Linked DNA regions of Oryza sativa Japonica Group. The protein of the gene in region 1 interacts with the protein of each later gene in a pairwise test. Links are inferred from orthologs where the notes say so. Each region holds a gene or a part of one and is shown on either strand. Other genes may lie near its edges.

What was found.
Region 2: the proteins of growth-regulating factor 6 (region 1) and GRF1-interacting factor 2 interact in binary tests that used the Arabidopsis thaliana proteins (3 or more experiments, as listed by UniProt). The link is inferred for Oryza sativa Japonica Group from reciprocal best matches to the Arabidopsis thaliana genes GRF1 and GIF2.

Annotation. Positions count from the first base shown.
Region 1 is NC_089037.1:30,699,630-30,707,491, forward strand, and holds growth-regulating factor 6, read left to right. Parts: upstream 1-3,629; coding exon 3,630-4,041; intron 4,042-5,065; coding exon 5,066-5,278; intron 5,279-5,424; coding exon 5,425-5,788; intron 5,789-6,201; coding exon 6,202-7,024; 3' UTR 7,025-7,386; downstream 7,387-7,862. UniProt on the Arabidopsis thaliana protein: Transcription activator that plays a role in the regulation of cell expansion in leaf and cotyledons tissues.
Region 2 is NC_089045.1:25,863,361-25,871,302, reverse strand, and holds GRF1-interacting factor 2, read left to right. Parts: upstream 1-2,672; 5' UTR 2,673-2,776; coding exon 2,777-2,863; intron 2,864-3,990; coding exon 3,991-4,067; intron 4,068-5,260; coding exon 5,261-5,348; intron 5,349-5,434; coding exon 5,435-5,800; 3' UTR 5,801-6,047; downstream 6,048-7,942. Other genes in the region: DNA-directed RNA polymerase I subunit rpa49, read right to left, coding at 6,839-7,276, 7,877-7,942. UniProt on the Arabidopsis thaliana protein: Transcription coactivator that plays a role in the regulation of cell expansion in leaf and cotyledons tissues.

The DNA.
Region 1 (7,862 bases):
TCAGGCCAAGTAATTAGCCTTTTGTGAAGACCATAATGCAAACCTATTCCAGATTTGTACCACAAACAACTTGGGACCATTTTATTCCCTCCTACAAAGCCTACCTAATTAATCTATGCGTAACCTTAAAGTTAACTCTAAACAAGTACAATGCCACCCATATATACATGGATCGATCGATCTCATTGCTAATATAAGCTAATAAGCATTATGAGAGGCCCCCCCTAGCTTGCTAGAATCTTACCATTTCTTTGACCAAGATCACGACCGCCCAAAAAGAAAGAGCTCCGTGACAAAGCTCGATTAGGCAGAGGTTAATTAACTATAGCTATACTTATACATTTTTTTCGCTATTAAGAAACTAAGCCGCTCGTGATGGCTTGGGGGAAGGCACGTGAGGGAGCCGTGCTCTTGGACCACGCATATTGCTACTTGATGGTTTTGTAATGCCCTAAGTACATCGAGGAGGGCTAAACAAATGGGCAGTAGTAAATTAATTTGGATGGGAAAGGGGGACATTTCAAACAACTGGCATATGTTTGCACGAGTATTTATTTTGGAAGATAGTGCCATTGTGTACGTTTTTAATGCCAAGGGTGACGATTATGTCATGCTACTGGTTTTTTAATTCCATCTGATGTTTTACCTCACGGTAATAATATAGCATAGTACTTTTACTCCATATATATTATATACTCTTATCAATAATACATCATCTCTTTTAAAATATAAACATTTTTAAGTGCTTATTCACCTATTCTCCATCATAATCAATCGTAACTATCTTTTATTTAGTTTTTTATCTAGTTTTATTTAACCAATCATAATTGTTTGTCACCTCAAACTTATCGAAAAATGGTTATGGAGTATGTATTGTGTTAGGGGTAAAAATAACGGAGAGTAAAAAGACAAAAAAAAATCGAAATGCCTTGGGAAAAAAATAACAATATTATCCCATCATTGTAGAATGATAGAGGCAGTAACTCTCGTGCGATGAGAGTGAATATATCTGCAGTAGAAATGGGCGTTAGGTAGCCCGCCAAACACAGCGGGATTACCGTTAATTGAGCTGATCTAGCACGGTTTACCCCTACTGTTTGGGTGAACATTCTCTCTCGCGTGCAGCTTGCAGCGAGCGAACGGAGGTGATATGGTGATATACAAAAGCTCTTCTTTTTACGGCCTTGATTTACCGAGTCTTTACTGAGTCCGGGCAAAAGAAGGCAAAGATCGAGAGGTTGGAGAAATTGAGAACGCACGCAACGTACCGGAGGCGAAAAGCGGACAGCGTACGGGCGTGGAAACCGTTCGGTGTTCCGATCGGGTCCCTGCAGGTCCATCCCTGTCACACCTTGGCGCCCGGCAAGCTAGGTTCTGTAAATTAAGGGCAGTTTTTAACAACGGCCACTTCTACTTAAAATCTTCATCAAGAAAGATGGTTCAGATTCAAACTTAGATTGAAATCAACTATAGTCGTAAAGGTTAGAAAAATAAATAGTAACCATAAGCTAGAAAACCCAATCTTTATAAATAAATACTGAGGCTGCATTCTTTGCTGAGAGTTTACAACTCCCCACTCTCGCTTTCCACGCATATGTTTTTCAAACTGCTTTCTATATGAAAGTTGCTTAAAAAAATCATATTGATCCATTTTTGAAAAAAATTAGCTATTAATTAATCACACATTAATGCAAACATCGTTTTGCATGCCGGGGAGGAGGGGTTCCTAACCCTTTCTCCCGAACACAGCCTAATTGTTTCTTAAAATTTTAAGCTCATGACCTAAATATAGGAGTTTAGAAATATGGGCTCTGGCGGTAAAGCTGCAGTTGAAATATATGACGCAACTTTATATATATATATATATATATATATATATATATATATATATATATATATATATATATATATATATATATATATATATATATATATATATATATATATATTACAAGTTTTTATATGGTGAAAAATAGACAGCTATAAATAATTTTAAAAATTAAGTTTTAAAATTTAACTTTTTAGCTATACGGTTCAGACATCAACCAGCTGAGCTGCCTCGTGATTTCCTTTCCTTTTCTTTTTCTTTTTCTTGAAAACATACTAATTCCACTACACCGCACTATTTTGTCAAACCCTTCGTCATAGAGCATTTAGGTCTTTTTCGGAACGCAGAAATTTTAGAGGTTTTTTTTAACATAAAACAGTTTAACTCCTCCAAGATTCCCGTGCAAAATCTTCCAAACTGAATGGCCCTTCAAGTTATATATTTCCTCTAAACTGCACATTAACCTTGTTTGAGATCCAGGACTCGTCCGCTTTGCTCGTGTGGTCTAGCGTGCTAATCTTCAACCATGATTGATACTCCTGCGATCTTAGCCTACGGTATTTCAGGTGCATGTGCGCAACAAATATATATACACAGATATGGACCGATCGATCCATGCATACGTGCGTCTCGCGTGGCTGCGATTCCATGGCCTAATATCTTAATTAGCGCAGGAAGATAGTACTACTACTTACTTACCAGCTAATTGCCTAATTTCCACGCCCAGTGAGCGGCTGGAGCTAAGCACGCAGCTAGTAGCTAACAAACTCATATATCAATCAAAACTGAATCTAACACAAATATACACTAACATATACTCCATAGTGCAATGATAAGAGATGTGTGATTCTAACTCCAAGGTACCATACCGTTCCCAATACATTCACATTTTCTTCTTAATTTTTTTTAGAGACGTCTCTTTCTCCAAATTTCATTTTCTAAAACTGAATCTAACACCAATTATAAGCTCTAGATAAGTGATATGAAGCTATCGGCATATCACACAGTGTCACTATGCTACGTACCTGCCGTTCAATGTGTAGGGAGGAGAACGATCGAACCCACCAAATGTTGGTGTTAGTTGCTCTTGTTGCTATTGTCAACTACCGGTTACATCTATCAGTTCATCTCTTGCACAAACACAACGCTTGTCCTGGTTGATCTATAGGACAAAATGGTGGTTTCGGCTTAGCTATTCCAGTAGTACTTTCTTCTCGGAAAGATAATGTCTTTTGAATCTTCTGGGTAGGAATCATAATCCTTCTTATAAATGTTGTTGAATCTAGTAGCATTTGGAGCAACTTTACAATGCAAAGATACCGGCACCCTACATTAAAGGTAAAAAAAAAAATCCCCCAGACAAATAAATCTTACCAGCTACAGTACCACTTACTACTGCCACAGCTATACAGTAAGATCTCTCCTTACCATCAATTTTGCCGGTGGTTAGAGCAGTAAAATGACTCGGTTAAAAAAAATATGGAGCAGTAGCAGTAAAAATCTTCAAACAAGTTTCCCTTTTTACCCCTGGGTGTTGTACTACTAGTACTTGGGGCTTGTGGCTAGCCTTTGCCCCCAAAAGGAAAACCATCCCGGTTTCCCGAACACGAGCCGCCCGCGACGACGACGCATCCGCCATTCCACCGGCGACGCGACGCGACGCGAGAGCACGCGCGCGCTCGCGCGGCGCGCCACCACAACCCGCACAGCGAGAGAGGGGGGGATGCGGTCGCTTGCTCCGGTAGCTGCGGCTGCGGCGGATGAGCGGGGGAGCAGGAGGGGGCAGTGGTAGGAGGTGGGGATGGACCTGGGTGGCGGGGTGGGGGTGGTGATGGCGGCGGTGGACGGGGGTGGCGGCGGGGAGCTCGGTGGGGGAGGGTTGCTCGGATCTAGGCTGATGAAGCACGGGAGGGGCAATGCGGGGGACCAGGAGCACGAATGGAGGCCGCCGGCGAAGCAGGCGAGGGGCGGGGACGCGTCCTCCGCCGCGGCCGCCGTGGCGGCCGCGGCGGCGGTGTCCGAGGCGGTCAAGGTGGCGGCGCCGTTCCTGCTCGGGGCGTCATGTAGCCCCGGCCATGGCGGGGAGCAGATGCTCAGCTTCTCGTCCTCCGCCTCGTCGTGCTCCTCCGGCGGCGGTGGCGCCGCCGTGGCCGCTGCGGCGGCGGCTGGCGGGGCGATGCCGCTGTACTATGGCACGCCTGCTTCTTGCTCAGGTGAGGATGGTGCAAAAATCTTTTCGTTTCCTTTATTTTTTTCTTCTTTCTGTTCTGCTCGTCTGATTCGATTTGGTGATTGAAAAGCTTTCTGCTCCTTTTCAAGTATTATTGCTGTTTGATTCATCTCTCTTTGTTATAGATTTATTTTCCATTTTTTATGCTACTTCTCTGCCTTTTTATTCGTTGCTATGCATCATGCTTGATCCTTGCTCACACTGGGATGGGATGGAGCTGATTTAGTTTTAGTTTTTGTTTTTTTCCCACTTGGTTCTTTTACTATTGTGGTTTAGATTCGGATTTGCATCTTGTATTTTTTTTGTTTCATATTTCTCATTTTTTTGTCTCCTTTTGACTAGATCACTGACTGCGAATAGCTCACTTCCTCTGAAATAGACCAGTTTATTATCTTTAGCATAGATGAGTGTGAGTATAAACTAGTTCTTGATTTTTTCTTGATACTGGAGTATAAGTTTCCTGTTCTTTTCAGTGACATCCACAAACGCTTTCTTGTCCTCATCGGTGCGGATCGGGCGTATTCTCTTTCGTCATACCTTTTGCCGAAACTAAAGGAGAAAGCACATATATGGATGAGAAAAGTCGTGATCTTTAGCATTATATCACTACTATTTCTACTACGTTTTTCTCACTAGGGAAGAAAGAAAGGTTAAAGTAGGAAAAATAAAAACATGCAAGAAAGGTTTCAAGTAAACAATGCGGCAAACGCGAATCAAGCTTTGCTGCAACGGATCGAACATGTGGTTGGTTGGTGACTTTTTATGCACACGCCACCTACAAATCCGTGCTGCTTCTGATCCTTGCAGCCACTTTGCTTCAGATTTTTGTGTCTTTTGCTTGCCCCTATCTATGTTATATCTTGCACAAGGATCGTGTTTAGGAAACACATGCATCTGGATGGTGGTCGTCGTCTCGTCTTCTATAAAGTACATGTGTGTTTTGGCTGTGCCTTGTTGGCTTGCACTGCCTAGCTTGTTGCTCATCTCCTTGGTGTATCTGGCTGCAGGATTGAGCTCAGTGAGCTTGAGCAGCAGCATGCAGGGTGCAATGGCCAGGGTGAGGGGTCCCTTCACGCCGTCTCAGTGGATCGAGCTGGAGCACCAGGCGCTGATATACAAGTACTTGGCTGCGAATAGCCCTGTACCACACAGCCTCCTCATCCCCATCAGGAGGAGCCTCACATCGCCCTACTCACCTGCCTACTTTGGCTCAAGCACATGTAAGCCAAGAAATGGGAAAGGAAGCAGATCAACCGAATGCTTTCTTGGCTTTAGTTCCTTTCATCATGGACTGATATTTATGATAAAAGCTGTTCCATTCCCTGATCTTGGTTGCATTGCCCTTGGTTGGGTTTTTGCTTTGCAGTGGGATGGGGATCTTTCCAGCTGGGCTACTCCGGCAGCGCGGATCCGGAGCCCGGCCGGTGCCGCCGGACGGACGGCAAGAAATGGCGGTGCTCGAGGGATGCGGTCGCCGACCAGAAGTACTGTGAGCGACACATGAACCGGGGACGCCACCGTTCAAGAAAGCATGTGGAAGGCCAGCCTGGCCATGCCGCGAAAGCGATGCCCGCGGCGGTGGCAGCAGCCGCTGCCTCTGCTACCCAGCCTAGTGCTCCGGCCGCCCACAGTGGCGGAGCTGTTGCTGGCCTCGCTATCAACCATCAGCACCAGCAAATGAAGAACTACGCTGCCAACACTGCCAATCCTTGCTCTCTGCAATATAGCAGGTAGAATGTTGGCAGCACTTTCAAGCTCCAAATATTGCTTTTAGTCAATCATGTAGCCAATGCTTAAGCTCAAGACGTCAAGTTTCGCTTTTGCCATTTTGCATGGATATTCCATTTCCGTACATATTTGCCTGCCGGCATCCACCAAATAATAAAGATAGAAGGTAATTTAGTTACCTAGTTTATTTAGCTACCATGATTGGAGATGAGCCCCAAAGATAAGCTATTAATCATTTACCAGCAATTAAACAAGTCCATTATTTACATTGCTCATCTATGTACTCTGGTAGCCCTAAAGGTACTTGTTTTGTGAGTAGAGTGGCCGTTGAAGAACTGCCATACTAAAGGAACAACTGCTATATGCTGTATTAACTACTTCACTAATGAATCACTTGTTGATCAAACTTCTACAGGGATCTGGCAAACAAGCATAATGAGAGTGAACAAGTGCAAGACTCAGACAGTCTCTCGATGCTGACTTCCATTAGCACGAGAAATACGGGCAGCCTGTTTCCGTTCTCAAAACAACATAATCCTTTTGAAGTGTCCAACTCAAGGCCAGATTTTGGCCTAGTATCACCTGATTCACTGATGAGTTCTCCTCATAGCTCCTTGGAGAACGTCAATTTGCTCACTTCGCAGAGTCTGAATGAACAACAGAGTTCAGTTTCCCTTCAACACTTTGTGGACTGGCCAAGGACACCTGCACAAGGAGCTCTCGCATGGCCTGATGCTGAAGACATGCAAGCTCAGAGAAGCCAGCTCTCAATATCTGCTCCAATGGCGTCTTCTGACCTGTCATCAGCCTCAACATCTCCCATCCATGAGAAGCTGATGTTGTCACCACTTAAACTGAGCCGTGAATATAGTCCTATTGGTCTCGGTTTTGCAGCAAATAGAGATGAGGTTAACCAGGGAGAAGCAAACTGGATGCCTATGTTCCGTGATTCTTTGATGGGCGGACCATTGGGAGAGGTTTTAACCAAGAATAACAACATGGAAGCAAGGAATTGCCTATCGGAGTCTCTGAATCTTTTAAATGATGGCTGGGATTCAAGCTCAGGGTTTGATTCATCCCCAGTTGGTGTTCTGCAGAAGACCACCTTTGGATCAGTATCCAGTAGCACCGGAAGCAGTCCTAGACTGGAGAATCATAGTGTTTATGATGGCAACAGTAACCTGCGGGATGATCTCGGTTCAGTTGTTGTAAATCATCCGAGCATCCGCCTGGTGTGAGCTTCTTGATCAACAAAAAATGCAACAAGATGACAGGCATGAGGAAACGATTCAATCAGTCTTCACCTTGTTACATATCGTTATGACGTCTTCAAGTGTGAGCATTTACCTCGGTGCTTTGTCATTCAGACTAATCTTGTGTTTTTGGTATTTCTGCTCTGTTATTTTTCCTTTGCTTTGTAACCTTCACCTTGGATCTTGACGTGATATGACGTGTGGTATGGATGGATTTGGTACTCCATTGTGGCATATCATCTTAAAATATCCCATGCTGTGACGTCATAATCGCGGATGAATGTAATCCGATCCTTGTCTTGCTTTCTGGTAGTATTCAATGGATTGTTTGTGAGCTGATATAAGTATTCCTCTTGACTTCTTGATGCTTGTTGGTAATTTTAGTTGGTCCATGCGGCATTCGTGTAGTGTTTCACTGGTATTTCGTGTACGGACTGTTCTGTTTGTCTCCCAATTATTGGACCATATATTCGGTGTATACTAGTTTTGCATAGTACTTCTACTTTGTTTGCAGTCACTAAACTAGACAAATGAGAACTATAGTTAGGTCAGTTTGGACGAGGCAATTGGGGTTTTTTTTTTTTTTTGGGGGGGGGGGGGGTCCTTGCGATTAAATCTGTGCAAAATTCTGACCAAATAGTTTAGCATTGCTTTTTGGAGCCTGAGGGCGGTCTTTCTTTTCCCACTATTATTGACAGAGTGGACTAGTGGTCTAATCCAGTTCTGATTGTACTCCCAACCAACAGCCTCACCAGAATACAATGATACAAATTTCAGGACCATTCACCACCAGCCTTTTCTTCCTCTTTTAACAGCTGCCAAG
Region 2 (7,942 bases), on another chromosome or scaffold:
AGAGTAGATAGATTCTGCGGCCACGTTGAGCTGGCCCAGCAACCTATAAATTCTGCCACGTGCACCGGCAGTCAGCAAGAATCTTTAACCACATGGCTTGAGCACCCTCCATTGGCTGGCTTCCTCTGACCTTGTGGGCCCGGCAATGCTTGTGGTCAAAGCTTACACTCCCTTTTGAGCTGCTTGAACTTGTTTCCCTCTAAACTCCAAAGACATTTGAATTGCACAAGGATTATCATTGTAATTACTAGAGGATAAGCAAATTGCAGACAAATTTTATTATTTCTGGCTCCACCATTGTAAGGAGTAGATAACTATTTAGAAACACCCCGATTCTCATAAGTTGTTTATCATAACATTCAGCTCTCCCGCATAAGCATTAACCCCAAGACATGAGCCATACCATTGTCTGGAGTCTTAAGTTTTAACTCTCACATCGAATTATCCTAAGAGCAAATTTAATAACTATAAGCCAATCACATGCTTATATGGAGGAGAGAGAATAAGAAAAATAATGAGTGCTAGCTCTTACATATTCTTCTAAGCAAATACTCCTATTAATTACATAAAGATAAGAAGGTAAAATTAGAGATAAACTTATAGCTAATCTATTATCGAAAATGCTATGCATACAATTGTTATGTACGATTCTCGTACGATTGCTGACGAATGGTGAGCGTTACTTAGTTGCATCGCTAGAAAATGACTGGACAACATGATTGGCTTCCGTTGAAAACATTACATCGTACGAGCTCCGTAGGCAAAATATCGTACATATGGTAGCTCTCAATCAACTATACATGTTAACTCTTAGATTCATTTATAGCTAATAGTTACTCCCTCCGGGTTGATAATACTTGTCGTTTTGGACAAGGACACGGTCTTCAAAAAGTAGCTTTGACAACTATTTTCTATTATAATATATATATAGAAATATCAACAAATATATAATTTTATTGAAATACTTTTTAAAACTAATCTACGCATCTGGTTTTTATATTTTCAAGACAAATATAGCCCAGGTAGAGTAGCTGTATTGTTACATAATCTGTATACCATTCTTTGAAGTGAGACAACCAAGAAGAAAAGAAGAGGCAAAGGTGAAGGGGGAAAACGTGTCTCACCTTCTACGCCTTCACATGGATTTCAGGTACTTTCTTCCAAGAGTTGCTGCAGCGCGCCATGCTAGTTGCCAGCCACTCTCCAACAGCGGCAGCCATCACAACGGTAACAGTGCACTCGATGAAACGACAGATTTGCCCCTCCCATCACTCTCACTCACAAAAGTTTGCTTCCATTGGAGAGCAAATGTTGGCACTCTCCATTCTGCAGCCATATGCTAACGAAAGAGAATATATCATGCTCTCTACTAGCATTGGTAGTAAATTTTTATGGAACATATATTTTCTCTAAATGTTTTAAATGGAAAAAAAAATTACAGTATGTCCACATGAATACGAGGGAAGTTCCTTTACAAAGATTAAGGTTCCATTGAAAAAAAAGGGTGAATATTGTATCAATATTCGGTTGTCATCCACTAATTTCACGTAGTTGCCAACAATAGTATGCTCAAAATTGAATATCATACCCCTTCAGTTTTTAAATGTACTACATGATTGGCTTTAGACATGATGTTTAATCACTAATTCGTCTTATTAAAAGTTATTATTTATTTTGTTGTAACTTATTTTATCATTTGAGATACTTTAACCATGACTCAATTTTTTTTATATTTTACACTTGATTAGTTAAATAAGACGAATAATAAAATATCAGGCCTAAAAGTCAGCAATGTCCTATTTTAAAACAAAGGAAGTATTCCATTTGAAAAGTGAGAAAAATTCTAATTTCTACACAAAATGAATTATATTTTTGTTCTTGCATGTGAAAATCCTTTATAACATAGAAGAACCTTCAGGGATGGTGATGAATGAATGGGTCCATAAATCTCCTCATCAGTGTTTAAATCTTAGTGTCCATAAATATTATGTACGTATAGGTGCCTCTTTAAATAAAAAATCAATGAGATCAAAGATTTACCATATTTTCTCTATTTTATCAGAAAATGTGTGAAGGGATGGAAGTACGTGCCTAAACCGTGTAAGTGACCTATTTTTCTGATTAAGATACATATATTCTATCTCGATTTTCGTTAGCACATTTTTCACACGAATAGACTATGTGTTCTGCGCGAAAACTTTCTATATATTAAAATATGCGATAAATTCAATTTTCAAATTAAAATAATTAAAACTGAATTAATCATGCTCTTTTCTTTTGGTTTTTAGTGCCGTACCTATTTTTTCGAGTAAACTCAAACCATACCTATGTGGCCGTTACTACTATATCCATCCCAATATAAGTACAATTATGATTTTTCGTGTCTAATATTTGACTGTCTTTTTTATTTGAAAACTTTATGAAAGAATTAAAAAAACTAGTCACACATAAAGTATTATTCATATCTTATCATATGATAAGACTAGAAATACTAATCATAATATTTATTTTAGATAATATGAACAATCAAACGTTAGAGACGAAAATACACAACTGCAGACGGAGGTGGGAGAGAAACGATTCTCATTGTCCACCAACAAGGGTAGATTCGTAATCTTCCCTCCTCCTCGCTCTCAGGTAATTTTCTTTCTGAACACAAACCAAACCAAGCTGAAACGACTGGAGAAACCTCGAAAAGCACAAAGCACCCACCAAATCCACCCTCGACCAAGAAACTGAGGCAAGAAGAAGAAGAAGAAGAAGCCGCCGCGGCGAGATGCAGCAGCAGATGGCCATGCCGGCGGGGGCCGCCGCCGCCGCGGTGCCGCCGGCGGCCGGCATCACCACCGAGCAGATCCAAAAGGTTCGTTTCGCTTCCCTCACCCTCTCTCTCTCTCTCTCTCTCTCTCTCTCTATCTCGCTAGGGTTTCTGGAAAAGATGGCTCCTTTGGCGATTGCTTCGGCCAAAGATCAGATCTTTTTCGTGCCCGGGTGGACAAGTATTGAGCCTTTTTGTTCTTGTCTTGCCTTTAATCAAATGGGGGGATTAATCACTGAGGCGTAAATAAGAACGCATTTTTGCAGAGAGTGGAGACGCTTGTGCATGGGGGATTAGAGGTTTAAACAGCTTAAGAGAAGTCGAAATAGGCATGAAAATGTGATAGGAGTAAGGGGTGTGGTCTCCAGTTGAACCAAATTTTGAATCTATAGCCACCAGTCTCCAAATTTGGTAATACTGTAATATTGCGAAAAGCATGATACGGTTGAAATGATAAGCATGCATTAATGCATGAGGATGATAGGAATTTAGTAGTCCACAAGTTCGGTTTTCCCCTTTTTTTGGGGTTCTTGAATACGGCTTTCTGCTTTCATTGCCCCTTTTCTTGTTAGTAGTTTTGTTCTTTTTTGTGCTCTGTAACCACTGATGTGGTCTATTTTGCCCTTCTGTGTAGCTTCAATTTACCTTATGCCCTACTTATATGCTAATTTCTCTCTTATATGCTTAATAATTGGCACAGCTCCTGCCACTGTTATAAGAAAATGTTCATGCATGTTATTATACCTGATCAATATTGATGATAACATGTCAACATAAAAGAACTCTGCCTGCAAAATTTTATGCTACACACCTTTTGGCCCCTTACATTTCAGTTACAACAGAATCACACATCTGAATTATGTCAGCTCTCTGATCATGTAGTTGTGGTTGCATCAAGTTTGATACGAAAGAAATCAACCTTTTCTCAATCATTGGTCCACTATTGATCACAATAGCATTGACATCAGAAACCTAATATCGAATGGCTAGCATTAACTTAAGCTTGGGTTTTTCAAGAAATAAACCATGTTGCCATTGTAGAATGAAACTGCATATACAATTCTTACAGAGAGACGATAAATGAATTATTTTAAGATTACACATAGATTAGCATTATAGCGTGGTCATCAACATCATTAACTTCAGATACTTATTCAATTTCTCTTTTGCAGTATTTGGATGAAAATAAACAGCTAATTTTGGCCATCCTGGAAAATCAAAACCTAGGGAAGTTGGCTGAATGTGCTCAGTAAGTTGCTTGCTAAACATCTTTGAAAGGCTTTATTGCTGGATTACTATATGAAATGCTTCTAGGTGGCTGCCATATCTTGACCATTTTGTTTCATGTAAATGACCTAAAATTGGAAATCTGCAATTGTTGACGGCTTGGAAGATGTTTTCAGAACTACATTTGAAGTCATTTGATCTTATTCTGTTAAAATCATGCACTAAGGATTGCACACAAGTGCCAAGTTTTGATAGTTGTGTCTTCTGAAGTTTACTTTACCATTTGGAGGATCTAAATGACAGTGGTCAATAAGTTTTGGCATCTGAAATTTACTTTACCATTTGGAGGATCTAAATGACAGTGGCCAATATGTTTTGGCATCTGAAGTTTAGTTGACTTGCATGAAGTATATGCTTATTCACTGTCTTCCCTACTGAGGACCTATAATATGGAGAATAAAATCTTGTTTCTGTGCCTGATTTGATCATCTGGAACACCTTGCTTAATTACTCTATTGGTCTATCCAGTGTATGATATCGTATATATCTGTTGGCCTGTGCTATGCAATGGAAAGTTAGATTTTCAGCTGAATGCCTTATTAATTGTTGCAATGGATGAGGAGTTTGATCTTCTATCCAAGTGCTACTATGAAGTCCTATAAGGGATCTATCATTGCTTTATTGATGGATCTTTCCTATCTACATGCATTCAGTGGAGTTTGGGCCTACGTGTAACATGATGCCATGAAGATATAAGTTTTTGTGGGCAGATAGTTGTTTTAAATTTAATGTTCTTGGAAGTGTAACAATCATTTTCGTTTTACACCTTCTAGTGAAGGAACTCCTGCTTAGCTCCCATCTTTTTTGTCTGAATAGTAACTACCCCAAGGCATGAAAATCATCCTAGTGATACCAGCATGTAGTATTCTACTACTGTTGGATCTTTCACTTCACAACAGAAAATTCTTTTGAAGTTTGGGGGAAAAAACAAGATTAGTTTAACAGTTGAGCATCTGCATTACTCATTCCATCTTGATTTTGCCATGCTAGTTTCATCTGTCAAGGAAGAAGGTTGCAAGATTTCTAATCTTCTTTGATGCACCAAACTTGTCTAGTTGTCTTAATTGAATTATTCGTAATGTGATCTGCCTATTTGGATGCAGCCTTCTAAATGATCTTGTAACAATGCTTATCTTTCATGCTCTCATATTTTAGGTACCAAGCTCAGCTTCAAAAGAATCTCTTGTATCTGGCTGCCATTGCAGATGCCCAACCACCTCAGAATCCAGGAAGTCGCCCTCAGGTTAGTTATGTTCCACATGTCAGCATAACACCGCCTCAATCTCTCCTTACTGTTAAGTTCACTCAAATAACTATTTCTCCGAATAGATGATGCAGCCTGGTGCTACCCCAGGTGCTGGGCATTACATGTCCCAAGTACCGATGTTCCCTCCAAGAACTCCCTTAACCCCACAACAGATGCAAGAGCAGCAGCAGCAGCAACTCCAGCAACAGCAAGCTCAGGCTCTAGCCTTCCCCGGCCAGATGCTAATGAGACCAGGTACTGTCAATGGCATGCAATCTATCCCAGTTGCTGACCCTGCTCGCGCAGCCGATCTTCAGACGGCAGCACCGGGCTCGGTAGATGGCCGAGGAAACAAGCAGGATGCAACCTCGGAGCCTTCCGGGACCGAGAGCCACAAGAGTGCGGGAGCAGATAACGACGCAGGCGGTGACATAGCGGAGAAGTCCTGAGCTAGCACAAGTGTTAGGATGAATAATGCCATGTATACTAGCAATGAAAAAGAAAGAAAGCCCCCTGCCTCGTGGATCACAAGTAGTCCTTACTCATCACCCCCTGTGTTTTAGAAGGCTCGTCTTATCGGTGTTGTAGAACAAAACTTTTAGATTGATGATGATGTAACCTATCAGAGATTCTTATCTCATCCTACAATTGTTGTAGCTATTATGGAATAATTTTACCAGCCTGAGAGAGTTTTTACTTCTGTTTGCCTGCTAATATAATGGTTAGTGTGATGAACTTAAAAAGGCGGTTGTATTTTGCAAGCTTATATTCTTGTACTCCTTTTTTCTTTTTATAAGGCATACTATAAAGTCAAAATGTCAAAGTTTGTAAGTATATTTGGCATGTAAAAACTATACCAACAAAATTATACTTCAATGTATTTTCATATAATGTTGGTTCTGTTTTAATTAACAAAATAGCTAGTAGTCAAAGTTTATATGTCTTGACCTTTTGACTTCATAATACGCCTTATAAAAAGAAATGGAGGTTACTTTCTTGAAAGGATCTGAAACCTATGCCTTTTCATCCTAATCTAGGCATGACATGTTTCCAGATTTTGAAGCATCGGCTTTAATGCAATATGATGTATCCCATCAAGGCAATCTTACAAACTGAAGAAACAAAATACTGCATGAATGCAAAGATTGCTTGGACGTTAGCAATGCATTGTGGCAACAAGATACTGAGATAATACTATCCACGGCATTCATGCAAGGCAAAAGCTAGATATCTTCAATGTAAATTCTGGTAGGCAAGATGAGAAAAAAAAAGGGTTAAAAAATGTCATCAATACATAAACAATATTCTGCCTTTGTGACAGCAACTCCAGGTGACAAGGGGAAACAAAAACAAGGCAAAAGCCATATTCCACATGTTTCAGTAATTCGGAAGGCTGGGCTGAGCATGCATAAACTCAGGCCCAACTTCGAACAATCTTTTCCTATCACACCCACATTCAGATAAGGCTAAAGATCCTTCTGAGATGATCAGAACCTTCGTCGCTTTCTCCTTGTAGCTTCTTTTGGGAACTTGAGGGGAGCTGGAAGTGTCATTACAGAGGATTTAAATGCACCGGCCGACGAAGATTTGCATCCCAGCTGGTCATAATATGGTTTAATCATCTGGCGGGTCATTTTCAGGTCTTCACATATATCCTTAGGGTCGGATCTGAAGTCATCAGCGTAGAGCGTGAGTACGAGAATGTAGTTGATCAGAAGCTCGTGTTTCTCTGTTGACAAGGCGCTAGATCCTGGTTCCGTAAACATTAGCACCATCTTACGATATACATACTGTGGGATCACTGGTCCACTGGTAGCCTGGTTTTCCTTTCTGTGCCGCTTGGACATGGAGCTGTTCCGTGCCAGCAGGGATAGGAGATGTGTGATGTAGGACAGTATCCAAGCAAGCCTCTCCTTATCTTCACCCTAAAGCATATAAAACATACACATATTGCATTTAGAGCATATGGAATAAAAGAAACAACTCTACAAACACAGTTTTTAGTTGAGTTCAGTATGACATAAGTTAAACAGATGGCTGCCATTGTCTCGAGAGCAATCTGAGTAAATATCTTAATAAAGAGGGGAAAACATGCAAATCAGGATTGTTCTACATGGCATCATTGCAATTGAGTGTCTGCCATCCAATTCTAGGTAGAAACAGTTTGCTCACATCACAGCAAAAACTCTGTAACTGTCAACTACAATATTTCAGCAAATAAATTCTTTTTGCACTGACTAAAGGAAGATCCGAGTCAATTAATAGCTACTTCCCTGTATGCTTGAGTGCTTGACAACATAAAGTAATCTTATTTTCCTTTGATTAGTGTACAATAAATTACTGTCTCCTAAAACTATATCAGCAACTCTTAAGAGTTTACAATTAACACACCTACAACCACCAAAAGTCAGGAGCATTTCTCATTAAATTTTCCTAGAAGTGGATTATTAGTATATGCATGGGGTAATTCAATATGAAACAAAGATTCAGGAGAACCAGATAAAAAGAAAACCATCAGTATTTACCTGAAGCTCCTGTAATTTATTAACACGATTTGACACAAAACTCCCATAGCCTTTTGAAGAAATTTC